7 linked regions of the Cricetulus griseus genome follow. The protein of the gene in region 6 interacts with the protein of the main gene of each other region in a pairwise test. Links are inferred from orthologs where the notes say so. Each region holds a gene or a part of one and is shown on either strand. Other genes may lie near its edges.

The links.
Region 1: the proteins of Gcc1 (region 6) and Golga2 interact in binary tests that used the Homo sapiens proteins (3 or more experiments, as listed by UniProt). The two-hybrid records come from large-scale screens. The link is inferred for Cricetulus griseus from reciprocal best matches to the Homo sapiens genes GCC1 and GOLGA2.
Region 2: the proteins of Gcc1 (region 6) and Amotl2 interact in a two-hybrid assay, tested with the Homo sapiens proteins (2 studies listed by BioGRID and IntAct). The two-hybrid records come from large-scale screens. The link is inferred for Cricetulus griseus from reciprocal best matches to the Homo sapiens genes GCC1 and AMOTL2.
Region 3: the proteins of Gcc1 (region 6) and Birc2 interact in binary tests that used the Homo sapiens proteins (3 or more experiments, as listed by UniProt). The two-hybrid records come from large-scale screens. The link is inferred for Cricetulus griseus from reciprocal best matches to the Homo sapiens genes GCC1 and BIRC2.
Region 4: the proteins of Gcc1 (region 6) and Znf276 interact in binary tests that used the Homo sapiens proteins (3 or more experiments, as listed by UniProt). The two-hybrid records come from large-scale screens. The link is inferred for Cricetulus griseus from reciprocal best matches to the Homo sapiens genes GCC1 and ZNF276.
Region 5: the proteins of Gcc1 (region 6) and Cep70 interact in binary tests that used the Homo sapiens proteins (3 or more experiments, as listed by UniProt). The two-hybrid records come from large-scale screens. The link is inferred for Cricetulus griseus from reciprocal best matches to the Homo sapiens genes GCC1 and CEP70.
Region 7: the proteins of Gcc1 (region 6) and Cep57 interact in binary tests that used the Homo sapiens proteins (3 or more experiments, as listed by UniProt). The two-hybrid records come from large-scale screens. The link is inferred for Cricetulus griseus from reciprocal best matches to the Homo sapiens genes GCC1 and CEP57.

What each region holds. Positions count from the first base shown.
Region 1 is NC_048599.1:144,032,367-144,035,866, forward strand, and holds part of Golga2 (golgin subfamily A member 2), read left to right. Parts: intron 1-778; coding exon 779-817; intron 818-1,044; coding exon 1,045-1,107; intron 1,108-1,191; coding exon 1,192-1,285; intron 1,286-1,377; coding exon 1,378-1,484; intron 1,485-3,500. UniProt on the Homo sapiens protein: Peripheral membrane component of the cis-Golgi stack that acts as a membrane skeleton that maintains the structure of the Golgi apparatus, and as a vesicle thether that facilitates vesicle fusion to the Golgi membrane.
Region 2 is NC_048597.1:210,972,776-210,975,973, forward strand, and holds the end of Amotl2 (angiomotin-like protein 2), read left to right. Parts: intron 1-58; coding exon 59-232; intron 233-933; coding exon 934-992; 3' UTR 993-2,698; downstream 2,699-3,198. UniProt on the Homo sapiens protein: Regulates the translocation of phosphorylated SRC to peripheral cell-matrix adhesion sites. Required for proper architecture of actin filaments.
Region 3 is NC_048597.1:122,200,282-122,203,805, reverse strand, and holds the end of Birc2 (baculoviral IAP repeat-containing protein 2), read left to right. Parts: intron 1-1,761; coding exon 1,762-2,016; intron 2,017-2,244; coding exon 2,245-2,286; intron 2,287-2,371; coding exon 2,372-2,565; 3' UTR 2,566-3,024; downstream 3,025-3,524. UniProt on the Homo sapiens protein: Multi-functional protein which regulates not only caspases and apoptosis, but also modulates inflammatory signaling and immunity, mitogenic kinase signaling, and cell proliferation, as well as cell invasion and metastasis.
Region 4 is NC_048596.1:199,920,088-199,924,203, forward strand, and holds the start of Znf276 (zinc finger protein 276), read left to right. Parts: upstream 1-1,316; 5' UTR 1,317-1,799; coding exon 1,800-2,016; intron 2,017-2,918; coding exon 2,919-3,222; intron 3,223-3,456; coding exon 3,457-3,503; intron 3,504-3,591; coding exon 3,592-4,038; intron 4,039-4,116. Other genes in the region: Vps9d1 (VPS9 domain-containing protein 1), read right to left, coding at 1,100-1,198. UniProt on the Homo sapiens protein: May be involved in transcriptional regulation.
Region 5 is NC_048597.1:207,720,005-207,723,504, forward strand, and holds part of Cep70 (centrosomal protein of 70 kDa), read left to right. Parts: intron 1-2,770; coding exon 2,771-2,941; intron 2,942-3,500.
Region 6 is NW_023276806.1:199,375,520-199,378,269, forward strand, and holds the end of Gcc1 (GRIP and coiled-coil domain-containing protein 1), read left to right. Parts: coding exon 1-950; 3' UTR 951-2,250; downstream 2,251-2,750. UniProt on the Homo sapiens protein: Probably involved in maintaining Golgi structure.
Region 7 is NC_048597.1:127,272,900-127,276,399, reverse strand, and holds part of Cep57 (centrosomal protein of 57 kDa), read left to right. Parts: intron 1-29; coding exon 30-107; intron 108-2,009; coding exon 2,010-2,123; intron 2,124-2,834; coding exon 2,835-2,912; intron 2,913-3,500. UniProt on the Homo sapiens protein: Centrosomal protein which may be required for microtubule attachment to centrosomes. May act by forming ring-like structures around microtubules. Mediates nuclear translocation and mitogenic activity of the internalized growth factor FGF2, but that of FGF1.

The sequences.
Region 1 (3,500 bases), on a different chromosome or scaffold from region 6:
CCCCAATTCTTGCTGCCAGTCCTGGGCTTCAGTTTCCCCTTGGGGCTCTGAAGAGAGAGACTGGGGGCTCCTGGGACCTAGGGGCAATGGGAAACCTGGGGGCCTCAGTCTCAGCTGGAGGCAGCCAGAGCATAGAGCATGCAGCATGGCTCTTCTCGTTGCTCTCCACCTCTTTTCTGTACTCCAGACTCCTAGCCTGAGTCCTCACCCCACTTGTCCTGAGCTTGGTGCCTCCAGTGGAAGAGATCACAAACCCGATTGGTTGTCAGGAGCCCCATGTCCTGCCCTGGCTTAGGTCCTGATTTGCTCTTTGATTTTGGTTACACCATTCCCTGGGTTTGAGTTTCCTGTTGAGGCAGAGTTGGAGAGTGTCAGAGACCTCTTTCCACTCTTAAGTAGCAAGAGTTTAAAGGCTTACTGAATTGTCAGAACCAAGTGCTCTCCCATTCCTCTCTTGGCTATGCAAGATACAGTCAGTTCTTAATTCAGCACACTGTTCCAAGTCCCCAAGTTGGCAGAAGGTAGTCTTCTTTCTCAAACTCGTTTCTAGTGTTACTGTCCTTTAACTTGGACCCAGATTTAAACCTCTGTTGTATAGTTGTGAATGAGAGGCAGCCAAGACACAGACTGTAGTTTGTTGGGAGCTTGGGAAGTTTGTTGGTTCATGTGCCCATGGGGGTCTGAGCACCTTTTTCAAATCCATCCCCCTGCTCTGTCTTGGTATGGGGTAGCATAAAAGGGGCTAGCCCCAGTCACCTTCCTTTGACTCTTCCCACAGAAACAACAGAACCAAGACACTCTGGATCAACTGGAAAAAGTACTGTGGTTTCTGTGTTTGCTCTTTTCATGGCTGATGGGGTTGTGGGAGGCCTCAGAGTTGCAGATTTTGGTCTTGCTTGATTCTATCCTGGAGAAGACTCACCCCACAGGGTGTCCTCCATAGGATCCTTGATAACCTGTCCTGGGCCACTGGTGGCTTTCTGGGGCTCGTCCATTGCTGGGATTCTGCTTCCCTGCTAAGAACTGCATTTCCCATGCCTGCAGGAGAAGAGGGATTATCAGCAGAAGCTGGCAAAGGAGCAGGGAGCTCTCAGGGAACAACTGCAGGTGAGTGGCCTGTGTGATATCCCTATGTCCCCCAGAGAGCATCTCTCCTTCCTCTCAGCACTTTTGGGGGCTTTTCTTCCAAAGGTTCACATTCAGACCATAGGCATCCTGGTGTCTGAGAAGGCAGAATTACAGACAGCCCTGGCTCACACACAGCAAGCAGCCAGGCAGAAAGCAGGTAGGATCAGAGCATTCTTCAGCCTTGTGCTGACGCCTTGGCAGGCCTGAGGGAGGGTCCCTGGGGCTCCATGTAGACGGCTCTCATTTCAGGAGAGTCAGAGGATCTTGCCAGCCGCCTGCAGTCTTCCCGACAGCGTGTGGGAGAGCTAGAGCGGACGCTGTCTACTGTGTCAACGCAACAGAAACAGGCGGACAAGGTAGGACAAGTTGCCTGTCTGGCCATCAGCAGCTTCCTGGTAGACAGTGAGCTTACAGGACTTTTCTGCATGGTCTAGTGCCTTGCTGCTGACAATTTAGCATGAGCTGTTTGTTGCTGCTTTTGTTGTGAGGTTGGAAGAAGCAAACTGGGGAAGAGTCCACAGCTGGGTAACTGAGGGCTGCACAAGTGAGCTCTGGATGCAAAACCTAGAAGCAGGCTATGACCTCAGCTGGCTGTAACCTTGGCCAAGTGCTGATAGAGGGGATATAGCCCCTGGGCTGTGGAAGTACAGAAGAGCTTATCACTGTGCCACTGTGGGTAGGGTAGTGTGTGTACAATACATGTAGAGTATGTTTGAGATGACTGACAAACTCGGAGCTGGGAACAGGATGACAATCGGGAGGCATTTTGCTTCTATACCCTCTGAGTTTTGGATTGTGTGAATAGACCATCTGTTCAGAAGAGAGCACAAGATCCAAATAGAAATTAACTTTCTTCCTCTTAATTGCAACTCTGGGGGAAAGGGCCTAGAGATTTAGATACCCCAAAATGCTCAAGTTCCATCTCTGCTAAGTGACTTCAAGCCAGCACTTTTGTACACTGTGTTTCTGCCCAGTGGGGGTGACAGCAACTGTTGTCAATGGGTGTGAAGATTGGATAGGTTAGCAGTGAAGTGCTCAGTGCTGTAAATGCCTCAGCCTCCACGTGCTAAGATCAGTCTAAACCACCATGTCCTGGTCCCAGTCTTTTTTCCTGCCTGCTTTGTGCTTATGGAGTTCTTTGTTTGTTTGTTTCTTTTTTTTTTATTTTTCAAGACAGGTTTTTCTGTGTCACCCTGGCTTTCCTGGAACACTCTCTCTGAGATCTGCCTGCCTCTGCCTCCTGAGTACTGGGATTAAAGGTGTGCACCACCACCACCACCACCATCACTTGGTACAGTTCTTTTATTTATATTGTTAAGGTTTATTTACTTTTTAAAAAAAAAAAAAGATTTATTTATTATGTATACAGTATTCTGCCTACTCACCAGCAGAGGGCACCAGATCTCATAGATGGTTATGAGCCACCATGTGGTTGTTGGGAATTGAACTCAGGACCTCTGAAAGAGCAGCCAGTGCTCTTAATCTCTTTTATTTTGTGTGTGTGTGTTGCTTGACTTCATGTATATGCACCTCAAGCATCACTGGCGCCTGCAGAGGGCACTTGGATCCCCTGGAACTGGATTCACCATGTTGGTGCTGGAAACCAAACCCAGGTCTTCTGGAAGAACACCTGGCCCTTTTACTGAGTTTTTCCTTTTTTGTTGTTGTTTTGTAGTCCTGAATAGCTTGGAACTCAGAGAGATCTGCCTACCTCTGCCTCCCAAGTGCTGGAATTAAAGGGTTGTCCCACCACAGCCTGGTTCAGGAGTTCTTATTAAACAAAACAAAAGGAGTGTGTGTTGGGGGGTTGGGTGTTTTCGAAGCACTCAGGAGGCAGCCTGGTCTACATAGTGAGTTCCACCACAACCAGGGCTATATAGAGAGGATCCTGTCTCAAAAAATAAAAAATTTAAATAATTCTTTTTTAATAAAGAGTGAGCCAGATGGAGTGACACATCCCTGTAATTCTAGCACTTGAAAGAGAAAGGCCAGCCCCGTCTGCCTGAGACTGTCTCATAAAACCAAAATAATTGCTGGGAAGGTGACACATAGCTGTGATCTCAGCATGGGGAGGCCGAGACAGGAGGGTTCAAGGCTAGCTTGGGCTATAGTATAGATTCTAGGCTTGCCTGGTTGCTTAGACCCTGCTTCAGGAGAAAAAATGAAAGAGAGCTAGTGTATGATTGGTCAGTGATAGAGTAACTGATTAGCCTATACAAGAACTTGAGTTTGGTTCCCAGCTTTGTAAAAAAAATATTATTAATTAAAAACAAAAACAGGGCTGGAGAGATGGCTTAGCAGTTCAGAGCACAGGCTGCTCTTCCAGAGGATTCAGGTTTGATTCCCAGTTACCCACATGGTGGCTCACAACT
Region 2 (3,198 bases), on a different chromosome or scaffold from region 6:
TCGGGGACATTGTCTTCTATATCCTGTTGTATCCATCACCCTCCTTTCTTTCCTACAGACCGTGTACCGGCAGAGGAGCCCCCGGCCACAGCTCCTCTCCCTACCCACACCAAGCACGGGAGCAGAGATGGAAGCACTCAGACTGATGGCCCTGCAGACAGCACCTCTGCCTGCTTAGCCTCAGAACCCGAGAGCCTCCTGGGGTGTAGCAGCCAAAGGACAGCCTCTCTGGGTAAGCACCCTGCCCCCACTTCCCCTGACCCGTATATTAGATGGGGGCTGAACTGGAACACGTGTTTTCTCCAAACTCATCCTCCATGGGAAGCCCCATGGTATGAACCAAGGGTTGTTGGAGGCATGAAACCCTCAATGGGAGGCAGACCTATAGTTGAGAAAGAAAGCGCCTCATCAGAAGGCACTGTGCCTCCTCCAGAGTTTTCCTCACATATCCTGCTGGTCCAGATTTCTAAGATCATGGAGCTTGACAAGTGACCCTGATGGTGATCTTGAGTTGGGAAGCTATTGGAAGAGCCCAGAAAAGAGGAACTTGAGAAGAAGCCTTTTTTCCTTCTAGTCTGATCTCACATTTACCCTTGCATAGCTGCCTGTGTGCGCCTCATGATCTCAGAAAACCACAGGCATGACAAGAATGCTACAGCCTGCTTCTAACCCTGGGGGCACCCCTCCACTGATCACTCTAGCCAGTTCAGAGTCTAAACACAGGCATACTTCCTGAGCCATCTAGGCCCCAGCCGACGGGAGGGAGCAGAGCATTGGGCTTAGTTGACCAAGTTAAGAGGAATCTGAGGACTGGGACAGATTAGGGGAGGGAATCTGATGAAGAAAGATCCTTTCTTACTTAAAATGTGTTGAGCTGAATAGAACAAGTGGATAACACTCACAGCATAGACCTGTTGTCTTGTCTTTCTCCAGACTCTGTGGCTACTACCAGAGTCCAGGACCTGTCAGACATGGTGGAAATACTGATCTGAAGGAAAGAGGTGGTGCCTTGGGGACCCTGACGCCTGGCTTCCCCCTGGCATTCCAGCGGTCGTCAAATGCTGCGCCTCACTTTCTCCAACCATTGATAGTGTGGTGCATGAAGCTCAGAGAGGAACCCTAGAGGGGACCTAGAAAAGTCTGCAGCCCCAGAAGACTGCTTCTTGGCCCATATTCCTCCCATGCTCATGAGGAGGGAAGAGCCAGATTTCCCCTGCTGCCCAAGGTCTGTTGCTGGAGGAGAAAGGAGCTGAGCCCCCTCTGTCCTGCCCATTTGTATTCAGGCATGAAGGGAAAGGGAAGTGGATTCTGATTCCCAAGGATGGCTGAGCACCGATCTGGTGGTCTGCTGGAATAACCAGGCCAGCCATGGTGTTCTGTGGTTAATCGAGGCCCCAGCCAATCCCATCTGCTCTTCACTTCCTCACTGCCTTCTTCAGATCACTAAGACTGGGACTATTGGGAGTGTGAGTCTTTTGGGAACCACCAGCATGCCTCTCACTTGGAGAAGGTTAGAGGCCATTTGAGAGGCCTGCGGAACAGTGTGTTTTGTATATAATTCTCCTTCCTTGGGAACAGAAGACTAAGCATGCTGGTTCAGAGTCTCCTTCCAGGGCTGTGCTGCCTGCCCCCGCTGCCACGGTTCTTGAAACATCTGATGGGTCCACCAGATGTTCTTCCGCCTCCAGTACTTGGCTATGGAATTTGATACTGGTTGCCCTTTCTCCATTTTAAACCCCTGTGTTCAGTGCCCATGGGACTCTTGTCACCAGCCTTTCTGAATGGCTCCACAGCTCCTGTCCCTGGGACATCCTGTCCGTTTGGTTATAAACTGAGCCAGATGCAATGAGCCGCCACATGTGGACATCTTTCATGCCCAGCACCAGGTTCTCTTTGAAGAAACTGGAGAGGTTGTTCTCATAAGTGTGTTAGTTCCCACCGGCAGGGACTGGGAGAGGAAGCTATGCTGTTGAAAAATGGATCAGTGAGCTTAAAAAGACAAAAGTCCTCACTGTGGTGCCCCGTCACAAAAACGGCACCCACGAGGCTGGCTCCTCAATTTCTGGTGCCCCAGCCCTGAAGCAGGGCCAACTACTTGGAATTGGGTGAAGTATCCCCAACTGGCAGCCTACCAGCAGCAGTGACTTTGACTTTGGTCTTAAAGTAACCCCCATTCAGCTCAAAAAGCGATTGGTGGGTTTCAGAGCTTTTGTGTTTTCTCCTTGAATCTTTGGTTGTTTTGTTTGTTTTTCTTTCACTGTTTTCAAGTTCTGTTTGTTGTTTTATTCCCATGGTTCTCTGAGTTTCCTTTTTAAACATTTGCATTTGCTGGGCAATTGCATATTTTTTTAATTCCCCTACCCCTGTGTAAAGCTAAAAAAATACATCTGGTTCATGTGCATTGTTTACAAAGATAAAAGTAAAAAAAAAAAAAGGAGGGAAAAAAGGCAAAAAAAAATTGTGAAAGAAAAAAAAAACAACTTAATATATTTTGGATTAATATTTGGTATTTCTTTAAAGTATTTTTTGTTGCTGTGAACATTTTCTGCCAAAGACCATGACGTGTGTCTGTGTGTTTAAGTTATCATGAATATTTAAAGTGTAAACATGGCTGTTTTGTTACGCCACCCTGTACCAGGATTGCTGTTGCATTCCACTGGGTATGACAGTATTTTAATAAAAAAAACTTACAAGGAGAGATGTTTATATATTTATTCATTTGTTTATTGGTTGAGACACTGTATGGATCTGAGTCTAAGTTTGCCTCAAACTAGAAATTCTCCTGCCTTGGCCTCCCTACTGGTGTCTTTACAGGTGTGTGTGACCCACAGCTACAAGACTGGTTATTTGCAAGGATAAGGAAAGGAAAGAAGATGAATGTTTTAAAGGGTCACCCATGTCCACTCTCTTCAAGGATATTTTGTGAAGTGGCCTGAAGGACACTTGAAATGGCATAGCTGTCCCCATTTCCACACATGTGCACTTTCACAGACACCATCTATGAGAAGGGTAGACAGGGTGGGGCAGCTGGCTGCCTTTCCAGGTAACTGTCCTAACCAATTTTGATTTTGGTTGTTGTAGTAGGAGTGTTGAAACATTACCTACTCTGTCCTCTCACTAGCACACAACCTCTTTGCTAAAGGATCCAGGTGCCATGTGAACCCTGTGATTGGACACATGAAGTGTGTATTCCAGAGT
Region 3 (3,524 bases), on a different chromosome or scaffold from region 6:
GACAGTATATAATGATTTTGATATTTGTGTACTTTTTTTTTTTTAACATCTTAACCTCCCAGAACATGTCTTCTGAGTAATTACATTTTCAACAAATATTTTCATATGTTTAAATATGTAAACAGCAGAGGTAAATAATGTGAAAGTGATGATTGTTCTCAAGGAACATGTAAAAGCTGGGGAAACTTGGTTCAAAAGACAGAATCAGAGAGCTAGCAGAGGGCCTGCAAGACAGCTAAGTGGAAAAGGGTGCTTGCTGTCCACCCTCATAACCTTAGTTCAGTACCTGAGATGCACACAGTAGGAGGAGAGAACCAGCTCCTGCAGGTTGTCCTCTGATGGCTATATGCACATCATGGTACTGAATCTCTCTCTCTCTCTCTCTCTCTCTCTCTCTCTCTCTCTCACACACACACACACACACACACACACACACACACACACACGGTACAAAAAACTTAAAAGCTGTCAGAGACGTGAAGGTTGTATGTGTAATGTAAATTGAGGTATTAGGTTAGAAAACACTTTTGTCCTTAAATAAAGGTAGAAATAGTTCAGGCCAATGAGGTACTTGCTACCAAGCCTGATGGCTGAGTTTGATGCCCAGGACCCACACGGTGGCATCCCATCCCCCACCCCCCACCCCCCAAGGAAGAAAATGATTTTTTTTTAAGGACTAACTAGTTCAGGACAGCCTTATTGTATGACCATATATCAAAATGTTTAAAATTCTAACTTCTGGATTGATACACATTTACATTTAAGTTCTGGCATTTTTTTGGTTAGCAGGTAGGCAGCTCATTCAACTAAACTTAAGGTTTCTTACCTCTGAAGTGAGGTTATCTGTTATGAACAAGCTAGATTCAATTTTTAAAGCTGCACTATAAATTTAGATTTACAAGATGCACCAGGTAATGTAAGGTAATAAAATGCATTTTATTGAACTCTGTAAGGAAGGTGTTGTTACTCATATTTCAGATTGGAAAGCTGAGGTGTATAGCAGGGGGACATGGCTGAAGTGTCTAGACTTGCCTTTGGGCCAGCAAAGTCCATCTTGACTTGTCGCTTAAGCTCTTGAGTGCTGTAGTTCATAGATGGTGTGGAGTCTCAGAAAGGACATCAGCACTGTGTAAACCAGGCTTGATGGTTCATGCCTGTAATCCCAATACCTAGAAGATACTCATGAGGATCAGGGCTATCCTTGGCTCCATTTGGAGCCTGGATACATAAGGTCCTGTCTCAGTAAATAACAAACCAAAAAACTCAACTAGTTTAGGACTGGTTTGGCAACTCATTTTGTGGTCTTTGACAAGCCACTCATGCTGTTCTAAGGCTCCCTCTCTGGAAGATAGTTGGCTTATTTAACTGACATTTTGAATGTGACAGTTTGTGTGCCTGTACTTATAACCAATAAAGAGATATAATACAGATAAAAATAAATTACTTTTTAACTCCATTGTGGGGAAAGAGAAAGAAAAAGAGGGCACATGTTTTACTACTCTCTAAAGTTTTCTGCTTGTTCTCAACAATTTACAGACATGGGTCCAGGTCCATTAGCATTTAGACTTGAAAGTATTTGTGCTGTGTGGGACATCTGAATTTAATGTGGAAGTTTATGATGGCAGTATGGAGGTGCAAACAAGTCATTTTCCTTCCCCTTCAAGCTCCATTTAGTGCCTAATTTGTGCATAGGGGTCATTGGGTATACTTGGGGCCTTTGACATTTAACGGAACTTTTTCCTTGCTTGTTTTTAACTGAAGGTGACTTGTCATTAATACGGAAGAATAGAATGGCTCTCTTTCAGCAGTTGACCTGTGTCCTTCCTATCCTGGATAATCTTCTTGAGGCCAGTGTAATTACTAAACAGGAACATGATATTATTAGACAGAAAACACAGATACCCTTACAAGCAAGAGAGCTGATTGACACCGTTTTAGTCAAAGGAAATGCTGCAGCCAACATCTTCAAAAACTGTCTAAAGGAAATCGACTCCACATTATATGAAAACTTATTTGGTGAGTTTGTTAGGGAAATTATTTAGTTACCAGTAGGGTTTTGTTCATCTCTCTGTTGAGCAAGCAGAATAAATCCAGTTAAAACTGTAATCTTTACATTTTACCTGTTCCAAAAATACTGGTGTATTTTACTGTCTAGGTAGTATTCTTTGTAATATGTAGCAAAAATCTATATAAAAACAGTAGATTTGAAAAAATGAATGATTTTTGTATGCTTTCTTTTTTCAGTGGAAAAGAATATGAAGTATATTCCAACAGAAGATGTTTCAGGTAAAGTACAGTTAGTACTTCAACATTATTTCTGTTACTTTTTAGAAGTTGCATTTTACTAATGTTCTTTTTTGTTCTTTCTTAGGCTTGTCGCTGGAAGAGCAGTTGCGGAGGTTGCAAGAGGAACGAACTTGCAAAGTGTGTATGGACAGAGAGGTTTCTATTGTGTTCATTCCCTGTGGTCATTTGGTAGTCTGCCAGGAATGTGCCCCTTCTCTGAGAAAGTGCCCCATCTGCCGGGGTACAATCAAGGGGACTGTACGTACTTTTCTCTCATAAATGAAGAATGGTTTTAAAGTATTATTGGACACCAGAAGCCATCTGAACAAAGAATGGATTACTGATTCAACCAGTACATTCATGTTTGCTCTTCTTCAGAATTACTCATCTTGCTTCATGAAAGGTGGTATTGTGTATTTAATCTTGATCTGTTTAGTTGAAAGGGAATGTCTATGCTGATAAGCTAAGGGAGTGTGTATGTATAAGGAGTAGTAGTGTTTGCTGTGTGTCATTCAGGAGTCACTGGATTTGGAATTTCTGAAAACTTTAGGTTCAGGTGATGTAGAGCTCAGAGACTCTGGAAACCAGTAGTCCTGGCACTCAGCAGTTAGGGTGCGCCATGCTTCTTGGTGCTTTTTCCTTCTGGAAAATAAGGATTTTTCTGTTACTTGGTAAATAAGATTCCCCTAGTTGTGAGAAACATATTAATAAAGTGTTTTTTAAAGGCTTGCATCATCACAGTGTGTTTTCTTTTTTTTTTTTCTGAGCACAAACATAAAAATAGAGCACATTTATTAAGAGTAGGAAAGCCACACTTACAGTAAGTAACAATGTATCAAATCTCACATAGTAAACACAGCAAAAGAGAGCAACTCCTTACTTGATATTCTGATGCAGTATCTTCAAAGCCTGTCCTTAACACATATCCACATAAGGCATTCATTTCATAGGCAGAAAAAATGACATCATTGAAACAGATTTCCTGGTTTTCAGCTTTGATTATATTCTACAGATACACTTGAAATACAAAAAAAAAAAAATCAACAAAAGCTGAGCATGGTGGCACATATCTCTAATCCCTGCATTAGAAGAAGCAAAAGCAGGTAGATCTCTGTGAAATCAAGGCCGGCTTTCCTCTACATAGTGAGTTCCAGGCCAGCCTGGCCTACAAATCGAGACCCCAACTTTAAAAAAAGAAAAACAGCAAGAACACAATATTCATTCCTAAAATAAATGTG
Region 4 (4,116 bases), on a different chromosome or scaffold from region 6:
CTAGACTTCAGTGATGGTCCACCTAGGACAGGGGCAGTATCCCCACTGTCTAGACTTGAAGGAAAAAAATGTTTGCATCTGAGAACAAAATCAGGGAATTTCTGCCTACAACTTTTGCATTAGGGAGTTCCCAGCTAGACACATTGGAGCTTAAGTCATGAGGCTTGGTAAAGCATCCTCAGCAGTGACACCATTTCCCACTCTGTATAACAGAGTCCCCTTCCTGTGCAACTCAAAGATCAGTAGTTTTTCCATGTCTTATGAAAAATATTTCCTGGAAGTCTTAGAGAGAATAAACGCTCATCTCTCAATCTCACATCGTGGCTTATGTTGTGAGAAACAACACTCTCCAGACTCCAGAGTTGCAGGTTTCAACTGGGTGACCCCTCTGCCCTTAGCTCTGTGACAGCTCAGGATAGAATGCACTCTGGAATGTATGTGTTTTGTTTTATTCATTGTCAAATTACCCACCTTCAATTAACTCAACACTTCACAGATTAGGGTTAAATGGGTTTCAGGTAGGATTTTGGTCCTGTGGGGAGCACCTGATGCCCTAGAAAACCAACTTGGGGAACTGGACAGACACTGATTCTTCCTCTCCAAGGGTAGCTCAGCTAGCTCTTCCACCTAGTTGACATCCTTTTAATTAGCATTCATCCTCAGTGACAGGCCACACCCCTTCTGTGCCTGCGTTTCTTTACAGATGACCTTTGAAGGCGACTGCAAACAGCAGCATAAGGAGCCAACAGTCAGTGTTTTCTGGATTAAGTCTATACAGTGTCAAGAACGCACACACACTAGCACACACACACGTCTGTCATCTACATCCTGGAGGGCTGCTTCACAGGTCCTTTGCAAAGAGAACCGCAGCTCTATTTCACCGACTCATTGAACAGATAAACCTGAGACCAAGTGCTAGTTGAGCTGTCCGAGTTCCCCGCAGAGCACCCACAGCCGCCCGTCCGGCCGAGAGTCCCCGGGCGGGGTCCCACAGCTGTCGCGCGCGTCCGAAGCGCGGATCCCCTCACACGCCCGCCCTTGCCCACCACGGACCAGGTGCCTCCTCCCGGAGCTGCTGCCGCGCCCCTCCCAGCCTCACCCGGGGTCGGTTGCCGGTGTCTAGCTCGATGGCCCTGTTGGCCAGTTTCATGGCGCTTTGCAGTGGCTTCGCCGCGCCGTCCCCGGCCGCAGCGGCCATGGCGCCGGGCGGGGGAGGCCGCGGCGACAGGGGCGGGGCCGGCGCCTCCAAACCGGAACGTGGGGTGCGCAGCTGAGGGAGCCGCGGGAACAGCACACTGCCGGAAGGGACCCTGACACACTTCCGTCTGCCCCGCCCCGCCGCGCAGATCTAGGTTTAGAGATTATAAGGGGACGGGTGGGTCTTGTCAGCTATTCAGGGCGTACTTGCTCTGAGTCTTGACCAGATAATTGGTGGGAAAGAATCTCTGGTTTTGCGGTTTTCTGTTAAGTGCCACAGCCCGTGCCTCAGTCCGTGGCAGTTTACCCTCCCTGCCGCCCCTCCTTTATGGGCTTGTCGCGAGTTCTGAGCGACCCTAAGAACTCTGGGCTCTCGACACAACAGCGGCCGCAGTCGCTCCGGGGCCGCTTCTCACATCGCTCCACCCCTCGCTTCGTTCCGCTCAGATCGCGGTGAAACGAGCGGAGCCGAGTAGCCGGGCGGAGTGCAGCCGAACGAACGGTACTGAGTGAGTGGAGTCGAGTCCAGTCAAGCAGAACCGAGTGGGCCGAGCCACACCGAATAGCACGGAGCAGGAATCTATCAAGTGGCGGCCGCCACCATGAAGCGGGACCGGCTTGGCCGCTTCCTGTCGCCTGGGACGGCTCGGCAGCGCGGGAGTTCGGGCGGCAGCTGTGGAAGCGGTCGGACTCGGGGTCGCCCTTCTCGCACCGGCGCAGCCAGCGCTGATGGGGCGGCGGCTTTGGCGGCAGCACAACTCAGCTGGGGCTCGACGCGCTCTTGCGGGGACACAGGCGAGGACGGTACCGACGAGGCAGGTGGGTTCCGGGCGTCCTCTGGCCCTGATGTGAGCCTAGTGATTCTGAGAATAAACCAGGCCTTCAAGTTCCGGAGGACTCGGGCCCTCTGACTTCTATTGCAGCGACTTTTGGCCAGACAGCCGATTTTTTCCTGCCCTGTGTCGCTGCTATTTAGTGCTTAAGATTTGAAGTCAGACAGGTGTGGGGCTTCAAGTCAGCGCTCCGTGCCATTTACTCTTAGGGTGCATTGCTTAACTTCTCTGAATCCCAGTTTCTTGTTGGTTGAAACAGACTCACAACCTGTGGTGGCTACTCAGTTAAGTGAACTACTTGTTCCCTGTCTGGCCGAGAGTTTGTGTATAAGCAGCAGCTGGTTAGGGTAACAGCATCAGTGCGTGTCACATTTATGTAGTGCTCTTCAACGGTTTGAGAATGACTTTCCTATGCATGCTGTTCTTTAGTCCCCCTAGGGGCAGGCAATGAGGTGGCATTGTCCACAGTCTGCAGACAGGGCACCTGTGGATGGGCAGTAAGTCAGTTTCTTGAGGCACAGCTGAGACACATTTTCAGGATCAGGATGTGTGAGCAAAAGTTAAGTTTCATCTTCACTGGAGGCATCTGGGGTTCTTTGAAAGGAGCTGGGCACAGTGGCATTGGAAGGCTGAGGGAGAGGATTATGTACTCCAATCTGGGCTACACAGTGAGACCCCACCTCAAAAAGTATTTGAAAGATTTATTAACAGTATCCCTCCAAAAGTTGAGTGTTCAGTGAGGAAGGCCAGCTCCTGAGCCCTGCTGTTAGTGTGTTTAGGAAGCCCATGGAGGGCATTTCTCTGCTTTAGATGCTGGGAGGCTAGTGGGAAGTGTGGTCCTTACATTGTAAGTATCTTACTTACTGTCACATTTGCTTCTTTGCTCAGGAGCAGGCCGAACTCTTGCCATGGGGCACTGTCGCCTCTGCCATGGGAAGTTTTCCTCACGGAGCCTCCGCAGTATCTCTGACAGAGTACCTGGGGAGACCTCAGAGAGACTGTCCCCAGGGGAGCGTGTCTTCATTAGGGACTTCCAGCGTCTGCTGGGTGTTGCTGTGCACCAGGACCCAGCCCTGCCTCAGTTTGTCTGCAAGAACTGCTACACCCAGTTCTATCAGTGCCACAGCCTTCTCAGGTCCTTCTTACAGAGAGTCAATGTCTCCCCGGCTGGCCAGCGGAAGCCTTGTACAAAGTAGGCCCTTGTTGGATTTCTTGGGACCTTCTGGGGTCATCATCCTGTGTTCTGGGTGTTGATGTAGGGCAGTGACTTGTGGGGTGGACAGAAGCCAGTATAAGCCTCTCATGGCGCTGCAGTGAGGTTTGCAGAGGTCTGAGGGTGAAGAGCTATCATTAGAAGTGGAGGGCTCCTGGGGAGGTTTGTGACCTTGAGAGGCTCCTAAACTGTGGCCACACTGATGCTTTGCAGGGTTGGTGTTCAGCCTCCCACAGTGGCAGAGGAGGGAGCATGTATGGGTGAGTGCTGTTCGTGCCAGGGTGGGTATTCCAGGTTGGGCCTAGTGTTGGCCACCATGAGACTGACATCTCTATTGATTCTCCTCAGCTGATCTGATCACCTCGAGCCCTCGGTGTCTGCACAGCTTGGTGGGCTGGGTACATGAACATGCAGCCAACTGTGGGTCTCTGCCCAGCCTCCAGAGGACACTGTCCTCTGAGTACTGTGGCATCATCCAGGCTGTGTGGGGCTGTGACCAGGGCCATGACTTCACCATGGACACAGACTCCAGCTGCAGAGCTCTCCTTTTGGACAGTGCATTAGCAGTGAAATGGGCATGGGGCAAGGAGATGTCACCACGGCTGTCCCAGAGCTCAGAGTTAAACACCACTGGAGCTGCCTCTCAGCTCTGCCAGGCCAGAGGAACCCAAGTTGGATCTGAGACCAAGACACCACCCAGTGTGGATGTGGCCCTGCTGCACTCACATGGAGACTCTGTGGGACCTGGAATAGGCCCCTATACTCAGCCAAACTTGGCTCCCAGTGAGGCCCCAGGTAAGCAGTACCCGTGGCTTATGATAGCACAGGATTCAGTATCCTGGCCAAGGTTGTCTGCAGCAGAAAGTGGATGTC
Region 5 (3,500 bases), on a different chromosome or scaffold from region 6:
TGAGTGCTAATTTTATGTGTCGGCTTGATTGGGCTTTACATTGCCCAGATGCTTGGTTAAACAGTGTACTTGTGGGTGAATGAATGGCAGACAAATACATTGTACTCCTGTGGTAGGTGGATCTCATCCAGTCACTTACAGAACAAAAAGACCCAGGGGGAATTTCTAATGCATGCTTTTAACATACTTTGTTTGGTTTTGGTTAGTTCTCCTACCTTTAGGTTTGATCCAAAGTGTCAGCCTTCTAGGGCTTTGGAACTACAATTCTGGGTCTCTTCTCAAATTGCTAACTGATAGTCATGGGATTCCATTAATTGCATGAGCCAATTCCTTATAGTAAATCTTTCTTTTTAAAATATGATCTCTCTCTCACGTGTGTGTGTGTGTGTGTGTGTGAGATATTCTAGCCTTCAAGTGATTATACAAGGCCCACTTATATATACACACAAATACATTTCCTGTTGGTGTTGTTTCTCTTGCAAAGCCTGAAACACTGTTTAACACACATTAGTTTTTGTTTGTTTAAAATATTGGTGGTTGTTTGTTTAATTTTGTTTTGAGACAGGATCTTGCTGTGTTGTCCTGGCTGGTTTGGAACTTGCCAGCCAAGCTAGCCTTGAATTCCCAAAGATCCTCTTGCCTCTGTCTCTGTAGTGTTATGATTAAAGGCATGTGACACCATGCCAGGTTTGTTTTAATGTTTTATTTTATTATTATTATTATTATTATTATTATTATTATTATTATTATTTGGGTTTTCAAGACAGGGTTTGTCTGTGTAGCTTTGGATCCTATCCTGGCACTCGTTCTGGAGACCAGGCTGGCCTCGAACTCACAGAGATCCACCTGCCTCTGCCTCCTGAGTGCTGGGATTAAAGGCGTGCGCCACCAATACCTGGCTGTTTTAATGTTTTATAATGAAAAGTTGGGCAATTTAAAATAATCCATTCAAACCTCAGTCAAAAAATATTCTAGCTCATACCTGACCTGTTCTACCATGTGGTCAATGGGTGTGTTCTCCTTGCTCCATTGTTTCTTCTGGTCCCCAAAGTTTGGCATTTCCAGGAATGATAGTAAAGGGTGGATGATGGGTGAGAAGAGAGAATGAGGGTGGCATCTTTCTTTCTGGTGCTGCTGTATTATAGCACTGGTGCCCTTGGTGGGGATGATGTCCAAATATAGCCTGCTTTTCTTCATGGAGTGTGTGTGTGTGCACACATGCACATGTTTAGTTTTGTCCTTTCTCCTAAATGGGGACCTTTAACAACACAGCATTTATTTTGTGGGCAGTGCATTTTACCACTAACTTCATATGAACTCTTCTCCCACCCTTAGGTGCTGTACTGCTGTGGCCCTCCAGCCGTAGACAGCTTTTTGTTGTTGTTGTTTTCATGTTTTTAATCTCTCGTCCAGTATTTCTAATTGGCCAGAGTATATTCTTACCCTATCACAAGACAAAGGGGCAGGCTTCTCTTGCTGCCCATTTCTTCTTCTCCACTGTGATGTTCACATATGGCCCAGTTCATCTTTGCTATGTGACAGACATCTTCTAAAACTTAGTGACTTAAAGTACCCTTTAATAGCATCATGCTTGGACAGTATATAGATCTGCTGATATTGGCCATAAGTTGATAGTGTGTCACTAGAGCTCTTCTTGTGGAAGATGAGTGAACTATAAGCGATGGGGATGAATGGGCTTGCACAGTTCTACCTGGAATTGGCCATGTGGTGGCAGCAGAGTGTAAACAGTGATCTAGACCACTTAAGAACTATTTCCCCCTCTGCCTAGGCATGGTGGTGCTCACTTTTAATCTCAGCACTAAGGACACATAGGCAGGCAGATCTCTTTGATTTCAAAGCCAGCCAGGGCTGTTATACAGAGAATGCCTGTCTTGAAAAAATAAAAACAAAACAAGCAAACTTTTTTTTTTTTTTTAAAGACTCAAACTGGCATGACATTTTTTTTAGTAAATTCTGTGAACCAAAGATAGACCCTAAACCAGCTCAAGTTCAAAGGGTAAAAAAAAATCTCTCCATTTTGGTGGGAGAAGCTGCTTCCTGACATTTGGTGTCAGGGGAAAGAAGGCTGTCTCCCTGCTTTGATTCATAACTTGGAGGAAAATGTTTTTTTCAATTAATTGACATTAATAGATGAGTTTTTAATAGAAGTGAAATGTTGAAACACAAATGAATCCAAAACAAAAACTTGCTTATGAACAAGCATTAGAAGTCAGATTCTCAGCACCTGTTTGCTGTAGCTTGCTCTGGCCAGATGAGAAGAGCAGTGTTTGCTCCTAGCTCTAGAAACCCTGTGCAGATACTCTGAGAGCCCTATCTCAGGGTTTTATAGCATTTGTTGAGAATTATTGGACTGGCTCGTCAGGACTTCTCTGTAGAATGAGTGGGGTTTAATTAGTAACTATCTTTACTTGAAATTTCAACTGAAATTGTGAAACAAATAGAAAGATCCCCTTAATATCATATTTAGCTTAAATATGAGGAGACAGAGTTAGGGAATCATTCAGGGTTAGATAAGGATGTCTAGATGGTTATTAATCTGTGGGATTATAATAGATGCTAACCGCTTTCAAATCTAAATTAATTTATTTAGTTTTCTTTAGAATTTGTATATCTATGCTGATGAGACTTCATTACCACAATATTTACAAATGTCTGAAAATGATGCCATGTTGACATCTGTGCACGCCTTTCCCATCCTCACTGTGTCAGACTCAGATATTTTAACTACAAACACTGTCTGTGTTTACAGGTGCTGTGCAGCATCAATTCAATTATCCACAATCCTCGAACTCCAGTAATTATTTATAAGCAGAGAAAGGGAGGAGCCCAAAACTTGAATAAAGATACTGTTCAGGACTGTGGATTTGAACATCTTATTCCTATAATAGAAACGTGGGCAGATGAACTGACATCCTTAAAGGTAAATAGCTGAATATTCTTTACATGTTTTGAAAATCTGTTGGACTTGGGCTTTTGTTGTTGTTTAACTGTAAAGCTAACAGTACTTTGCTAAAATTGGAATGTTGCTGCCACTTACATATTTTATTTTATTTTATTTTTTTTGAGACAGAGTTTAACTCTGTAGTCCTGGCTGGGCTGGAACTCTGTATATAGACTAGGCTGTCTTTGAACTCACAAATAGCCACCCGTTTCTGCCTCCTGAGCACTGTAATTAAAGGCATGTGCTACCATACCCAGACTTACGCATTTCTAATCCTGTAAATTTGTTGTTATTGTTAAGCTTGCCTCCTCTAAAGCTCTACCATAGAGGATTTTTAGACTTCACCTCCCTGAGACTCTGGATCCCTCTCTGTACATCCAAGCTCTTCCATGCTCTCCCTCTCCCTCCTGCTGATACCTTTGCTGCACATGTCCTGACCTTCGCACGGGCTCAGATGTAGTGTCTTATCCTTATTTTAATCTTCACTGGACTATTTTTCCTGTCTTCACATTTTATATTTCTTTCTCAGAACTGAGTT
Region 6 (2,750 bases):
AGATAATGCCCAGCTCAGAGGCTGCTGATGGGGAAAAGGCTACTGCACTCTACTACCAACAGGAGCTGAAGCAGCTGAAGGAAGAGTTTGAGCGCTACAAGATGAGAGCCCAGGTCGTGCTCAAGAACAAGAATACCAAAGATGGGAGCCTGGCGAAGGAGCTGGAGGCAGCACAGGAACAGCTTGCTGAGCTGAAGGAGAAGTATATCTCCCTGCGGCTGTCCTGTGAGGAGCTTGAAAGCCAGCACCAGCAGGAGGCTGAGGACTGGAAGCAGGAGCTGGCCCGGCTGCAGCAGCTCCATCGGCAGGAACTGGAGCATAGCCAGCTGGACTTCAGGGACCGCACACTGAAACTGGAGGAGGAGCTGCATAAGCAGCGGGACCGGGCCCTGGCCGTGCTTGCCGAGAAGGACTTGGAGCTGGAGCAATTGCGTTCCGTGGCCTTGTCCTCTGGGTTGCCAGGGCGCAGGAGCCCTGTGGGTGGAGTGGGTGGTGGAGGTCTTGGGGACCCTGCTGACACAGCTTCCTCAGATAGCCTGACCCAAGCCTTGCAGCTCGCTGCAGCCAATGAGCCCACTTTCTTCCTTTATGCTGAGCAGTTGGCCCGAAAGGAGGTGGAGATCACCTCACTGAGGAAGCAGAAACACAGGCTGGAGATGGAGGCCCACCAGCTGCAGGAAAAGCTACTGGAGGAGGGGGAGCGGCACCGAGAGGAGGTTGGAGCACTCCAGAGCCACATTGAAAAGAACATCAGGGACCAGAGCAGGGAAGGAGCCAACCTGGAGTATCTCAAAAACATCATCTACCGCTTCCTGACCTTGCCGGACAGCCTGGGCCGCCAGCAGACGCTCACAGCCATCCTGACTATCTTACACTTCAGTCCCGAGGAGAAGCAAGTGATAATGCGGCTCCCAAGTGGCGGGGGCTGGTGGCCTTCTGGCAAGAGATGATGCCTTTTGCCAACTCCTGAGATCTCTGTGCCTCTTTTATGTGGGAAGGGCAGGCTCAGATTTTTACGCCTCGTCTCTCACATTCTCACTTATTTCTTCACTGTGTTGAACTCACAGCAGTTCAAAGTAGGATGGGGTTTTCTGCCAAGTGCCATTAATGCAACCCTATTCTTGGGCTCTAGGGATACTGCAGGTGTTGAGACAGCATCTTCTGGGGGTGTGTATGTGGAGCAGAGTAGGGAGAGAGGCTGGGGCTAAGAAGTGCAAGTTAGGGAAGTGGTGAGAGTCTTTAGGAATAAGATGTTTTATTATGCTCCTAGCTCGGAGTTAGGAGTAATGTCACTCCCAGAGGAGCTCATCTGACTTTGGAACATACACAATAACTATGTGTGTATTTCTTGTCAGAGTCTGGTCTACTTTTGTCCTAATTTTTCTGGGGACATAAAATCAAGCTAGAAAGAGACCAGGAAGTTAGAAATAGTAAAGGTTTGTCCAAAGGGCTGTGGCATGGTAGAGTTCATCCCAGAACTTGGAACCTTGGTTCCAGGGACCAGCCCACCATTCGTGACCATCCTAGAGAGGGTCCTGAGCACCGATGTGACCTCAGAGATTTCCCAAGTGATCTGATATGGGCCAGGACGGGATTAAAAAGAAACCTCTTTTGCTCAAGCTGTCTGCCTAAGGTCAGCCCGAGAGTGAGAGTCAGTGACTTTACTGTCTTTCCATCAACATTGAACTTGAATTAAGAAATGAAACCCTAGCTTCTTACAGAGCATTCAGACAGTAAGCTAGGAGCCTCCTTGGACACAAGGAATTCCTGCCATGATAAGTTCCCAGCTGTTTGCTTTTGCAGGGACAGGAAAGAGGAGGTAATTTGCTGCAGATTCCAAAAGATTGCTATGACCCTCACAGGAAAAGTGACATTCAGTTGAAATACTTTGCGCCCTGTGAGTGTTGGCAAAGGTTAATTCTCTCCTTTAAGGAAAGATAGCTCTCAGAAAACTGAGGTCAAAGCAGTATCAGTTGCCCAATTCTTTTCTTTGCTTAGTCTGCTCTTCCTGGTTATAAAGACCTTTGGACCTAAAAGACCAATGTTGGAACATTAATATGTATTTTTTTTTGTTTTTGCTATTTTTGTTATGGAGATCTATTTTGCAAAAGTTTGGGGTACAGAAGACTTCAGTTAACAATGTTTTGGATGGGCAGAGGTGACCTGATTATCTTCATGAGCAGACTTGAATGGGACAAAAGTGCTATCTTTATGGTAATACCAATGGTCATTAAACCTGAGTGACTTGAACTGTGTTTCTTTAATGGTGGTGTCTCTACATCTGAACACAAGTAGAGTATGAATGTAAATGGCGAATGAGAAGGCTAGATATATATAGTTCCTTATATTGCTCTCTGAGCTCGAACCCATATTCCATTCTGCCAATCCATGAGCTTGGCTCCAGGGACAAATACCTCAGGACTTTAACTGCCTCACATGGAACAAATTTCTTAGCCTGGTGTTGTGTGTGTGTGTGTGTGGGAGGGCACTGCAATGGAAAATCTTTTCCAGTGGGTTTAGTGTGTGGGCTTGATGTGTCCATAATTACTGCTTCATACTCTAGAAGTAATCTGTGTACGTATGCTTCTTTATCCTTAAAATAAGGCTTCATGATACCCTGCAGAGTTATCTCAGGACATTTACACTTCCTTCATTTCTTTAAAAATAGACTTCTTCCATTTCTTTACCTCGCTTTTCTAATTGTAGGATATCCTGTGATTGCTGTTATTTCTAGGTGGTTCTGGGGAGAA
Region 7 (3,500 bases), on a different chromosome or scaffold from region 6:
ATTATCTGCTCTGATACTCTTATTACTAGAAAAAGATGCAAGAGTTGGAGTCTAAACTTCATGAAGAAGAGCAGGAAAGGAAGCGTATGCAGGCACAAGCAGCAGAGGTAAGTGGAATGGTGAACAGTTAAATAAGTGTTTCAGTGGTGAACTGTTACATATGAGCACACCAGATCTACATGTAGACCTCAAGAGATAGCTTAGTATTGGAAATTAGGAATGTAACTTTGCAAAGTAAAATTTGAGCAGTTCTTTGGATGTTTCAAATTATGAAGTCTGGATTAGTATTTTTAAAACCCATGAGGTTGGAGCTGGAGAGATGGTACAGAGATCAGAGCATGTGATTGTCCTTGCAGTGGACCTGACTGCTTCTCAGCAACCCACATGGTGGCCTACAACCATCTGTAACTCCAATTCCAGAGTCTGACAGTATTCTAATCCTTGGGCCCAGGCACATGCACGTACATAAATGCAGGCAGTTTTGTAATACATAAATCCATGCACATAAAATAAAAACCTGTGAGGTAAAAACATGTCCAACACAGAAGTCTTAGACTCTGTAAGATAAAGTTATTTTGTATTTTAACAAGACACACTTTTCTCTATGGTTATTTGCTCAGATATTTCCTAGTCTCTCTTTTCTATCCTCTTTAAGATTATGCTTATGTTTGTAGCTTTTATCATAGTAACCCAAAGGTCCTGATCTGAGAAGTTTGCAATTAAGCAATTAAGCCTATGGCATCTGTCTAGTGTCCTGCATTCTCACAGCTTCCGATGCAAATACTACAGTCTCTTTCTTTTATTGCTTCTTTGAGTCACTGATTGTATATGCCTATTTCTTATTAAACCTGATATGATTTATAGATTTACTTTTCTCTGTGTGCTTACTGAGTTAAATGGTCACTTAACCATTTTTGATCTTTAGTGAATTTGTTGTGACTTTAGGGAAAACTATTTTAAGATGTCTCTATTCCTTACATGTAACATTGCAAAAGTATGAGGTTTTCTTTATTAAATTATAGTCTATAGTCCTTATATGCTAAATAGAAAGTTTCACAAATTCATTGATTGATGAATTCTTACCAAGTTCTGATGATGAACGCTATGGTAGTGGAAGGCAGGTGGTGAATAATGATATTTCTCTATCTTGCTGTTCTGAACAGAGTATTTAGCCATCCAGATCCTGGATTTTATAGTGCTAGGGAAATCAAACAAGAAGTGATCAAAAGTAGCCCTTAAGTAGTTCATTTGTTACTGTTGACACTTGTTGACAGTGTAAGTATTCCAGAAGGATAATACCCTGTGGAATTATGTCTAGTGTGTCGTGCTTCTGAGGATGGAGAGTTTAGCATTCTACTGCCAGGGACTATGCTGTCCTAAGAGTGCATGAGATAATGAAGGGATGTTTTTAGTGTTCCTTGCATTTCATTCATTACTGTGCTGTTTCTGAAAACTCAGTCATGATTTCTGGGAAACTTCCCTCATTGTGAATTTTTAAACTCTTTGGGGGGAGGAAGCTGGTCATTAGAATTTTTACCAAACTCCAGACTATTTTTGATGTATAGAAAGATAACCACTTTCACAGATTTTTGGAGAGTGGGGCTGTTGAAAAATAGTTTAGAGAAAATTGCAGCTTCCGCCTCTGCCCCCCCCCAAGATTTATTTTTATTTATATTGTGTTTTGCTTACTTGTCTGTATAGAGCACAGTCAGTTTAGAGCTACATGCATTCCATTTCATTCCTGAAGTAGAATCTGCAGAGTAACTACCAGTAGTAGAACAGTGCTTCCAAGCAAGACATGATCAACTATAGATCAGCAGTTCACATAAATGAGAGACTGAAGACATACTGTATAGTCATGCCATTGCTTTCAGTGAGATGACTACCATTGTAGTTATAGACTTATTTATATGGCACCTCAAATGTGGATTGTAACTTTTCTCTTAGATCATTAACTCTGTTTTTTTTTTTTTTTTTTTTTTTTTTTTTTTTTTTTTTTTTTTTTCTAGTTGCAGACTGGTCTAGAAGCAAATAGACTTATTTTTGAAGATAAGACAACTTCTTCGTATGTTGCAACCAACACTAGAAAAATTAAAAAAAAAAAGTCAAAACCACCAGAAAAGGTATGAAAATTGAACTAGTTAGTCTTACCAATTTTGTGTAATAATTTGTGTAAACAACACTCAAGCCATGTGGTATTAGGATCTTGGGAGAGTGAGTCTTTCATTCTTAGTTTCTGTACTAAAACCTGAAGATAAATAAATTTTACTTTTGAATACTTAACCCTGGTAGTGAGGGCCCATATGAAAGCATTGGGAATTACCAAAGAACATACAACTGGGAATATTCAGCTGTGTTCACTACCTTTGACTCTTAAAATGCTTCTTGAATACTGTTCCTCTACTTAACTCTTGATAACTGTTTTGTTAGTACTCTGCCTTCCAAGCAATATTATGAGTCCCAATATAAACAAGTGTTATGGTTTAAATGTGAAATGGCCCCCATTAAGTCACTAGAAAGCAAGCCTTGAGATTCTGAGCCTGGCCCACTTCCTGTCCTCTGTCTCTGCTTTCTACTGTTTGGTACAGTCTAATGAAAATCCACCCAACCCAGACTACTGTTGCCATGTGTTTTCCATGATGAGTTGTATCTTATCAAACTGTGGGCCAAGTAAATCCCTTCTTAAATAGCTTCTTGAAGCCTTGTTGCTATTTGGTCACAGTAGCAAAAAGGGACCGGTGTAGCTAATTATCCAATCAGTAGTTTCACGGTGAGCTGGAATCTTGGGTTAGTTCACCAAATTAAATGAAATGGCTTTTTTTTTCTCCTTCTAGAAAGGTCCTAGGAACTATTTTGGTGCACAGCCACATTACAGATTGTGCTTAGGCGATATGCCCTTTGTTGCTGGAAAGGTGAGTTATAGCTATTGATACTTATTTTTAAATTACTTCAATGTCTTTTTTTTTTTCTTTTATGTATATGGGTGTTTTGCCAACCTATATGTCTGTGTACCATCTGTTTAATGTCCACAGAGGCCAGTAGAGGGTATGGGATCCCCTAGGACTAGTGCTCTAGATGATAGTCAGCTGCCATGTGGGTGTTGGAAATTGAACCTGGAATTCCAATGGAAGATCAGCCTGTGTTCTTAACTGCTGAGCCATCTCCAGCCTGTTTCAGTCTTTAGAACACATTTTAGGGGTTATAAGCAGAATTTGAACTTTAAAAAAAAAAAATCCTTCTGCCTCATCACTTCTGGGATTATAGGTATGAACCACCATACCTGGCTCTAGGAAAACCTTTTAGAAGGCACAGCCTACTATTTATAAAATCAACTCAAGGAACAAGTTTTCTCCTGACTTTGTATAAGCCTCTATAAGTATGGTTGTGAAGTTATTTTTTGTTATATTTTGATTAGTGTGTTTATTAAAAACATTGTTTTCATTGTGAAAAAATGAGGGGGCACCAATGCATGTGGAGAGGTCAAGGTACAACTTGAAGGG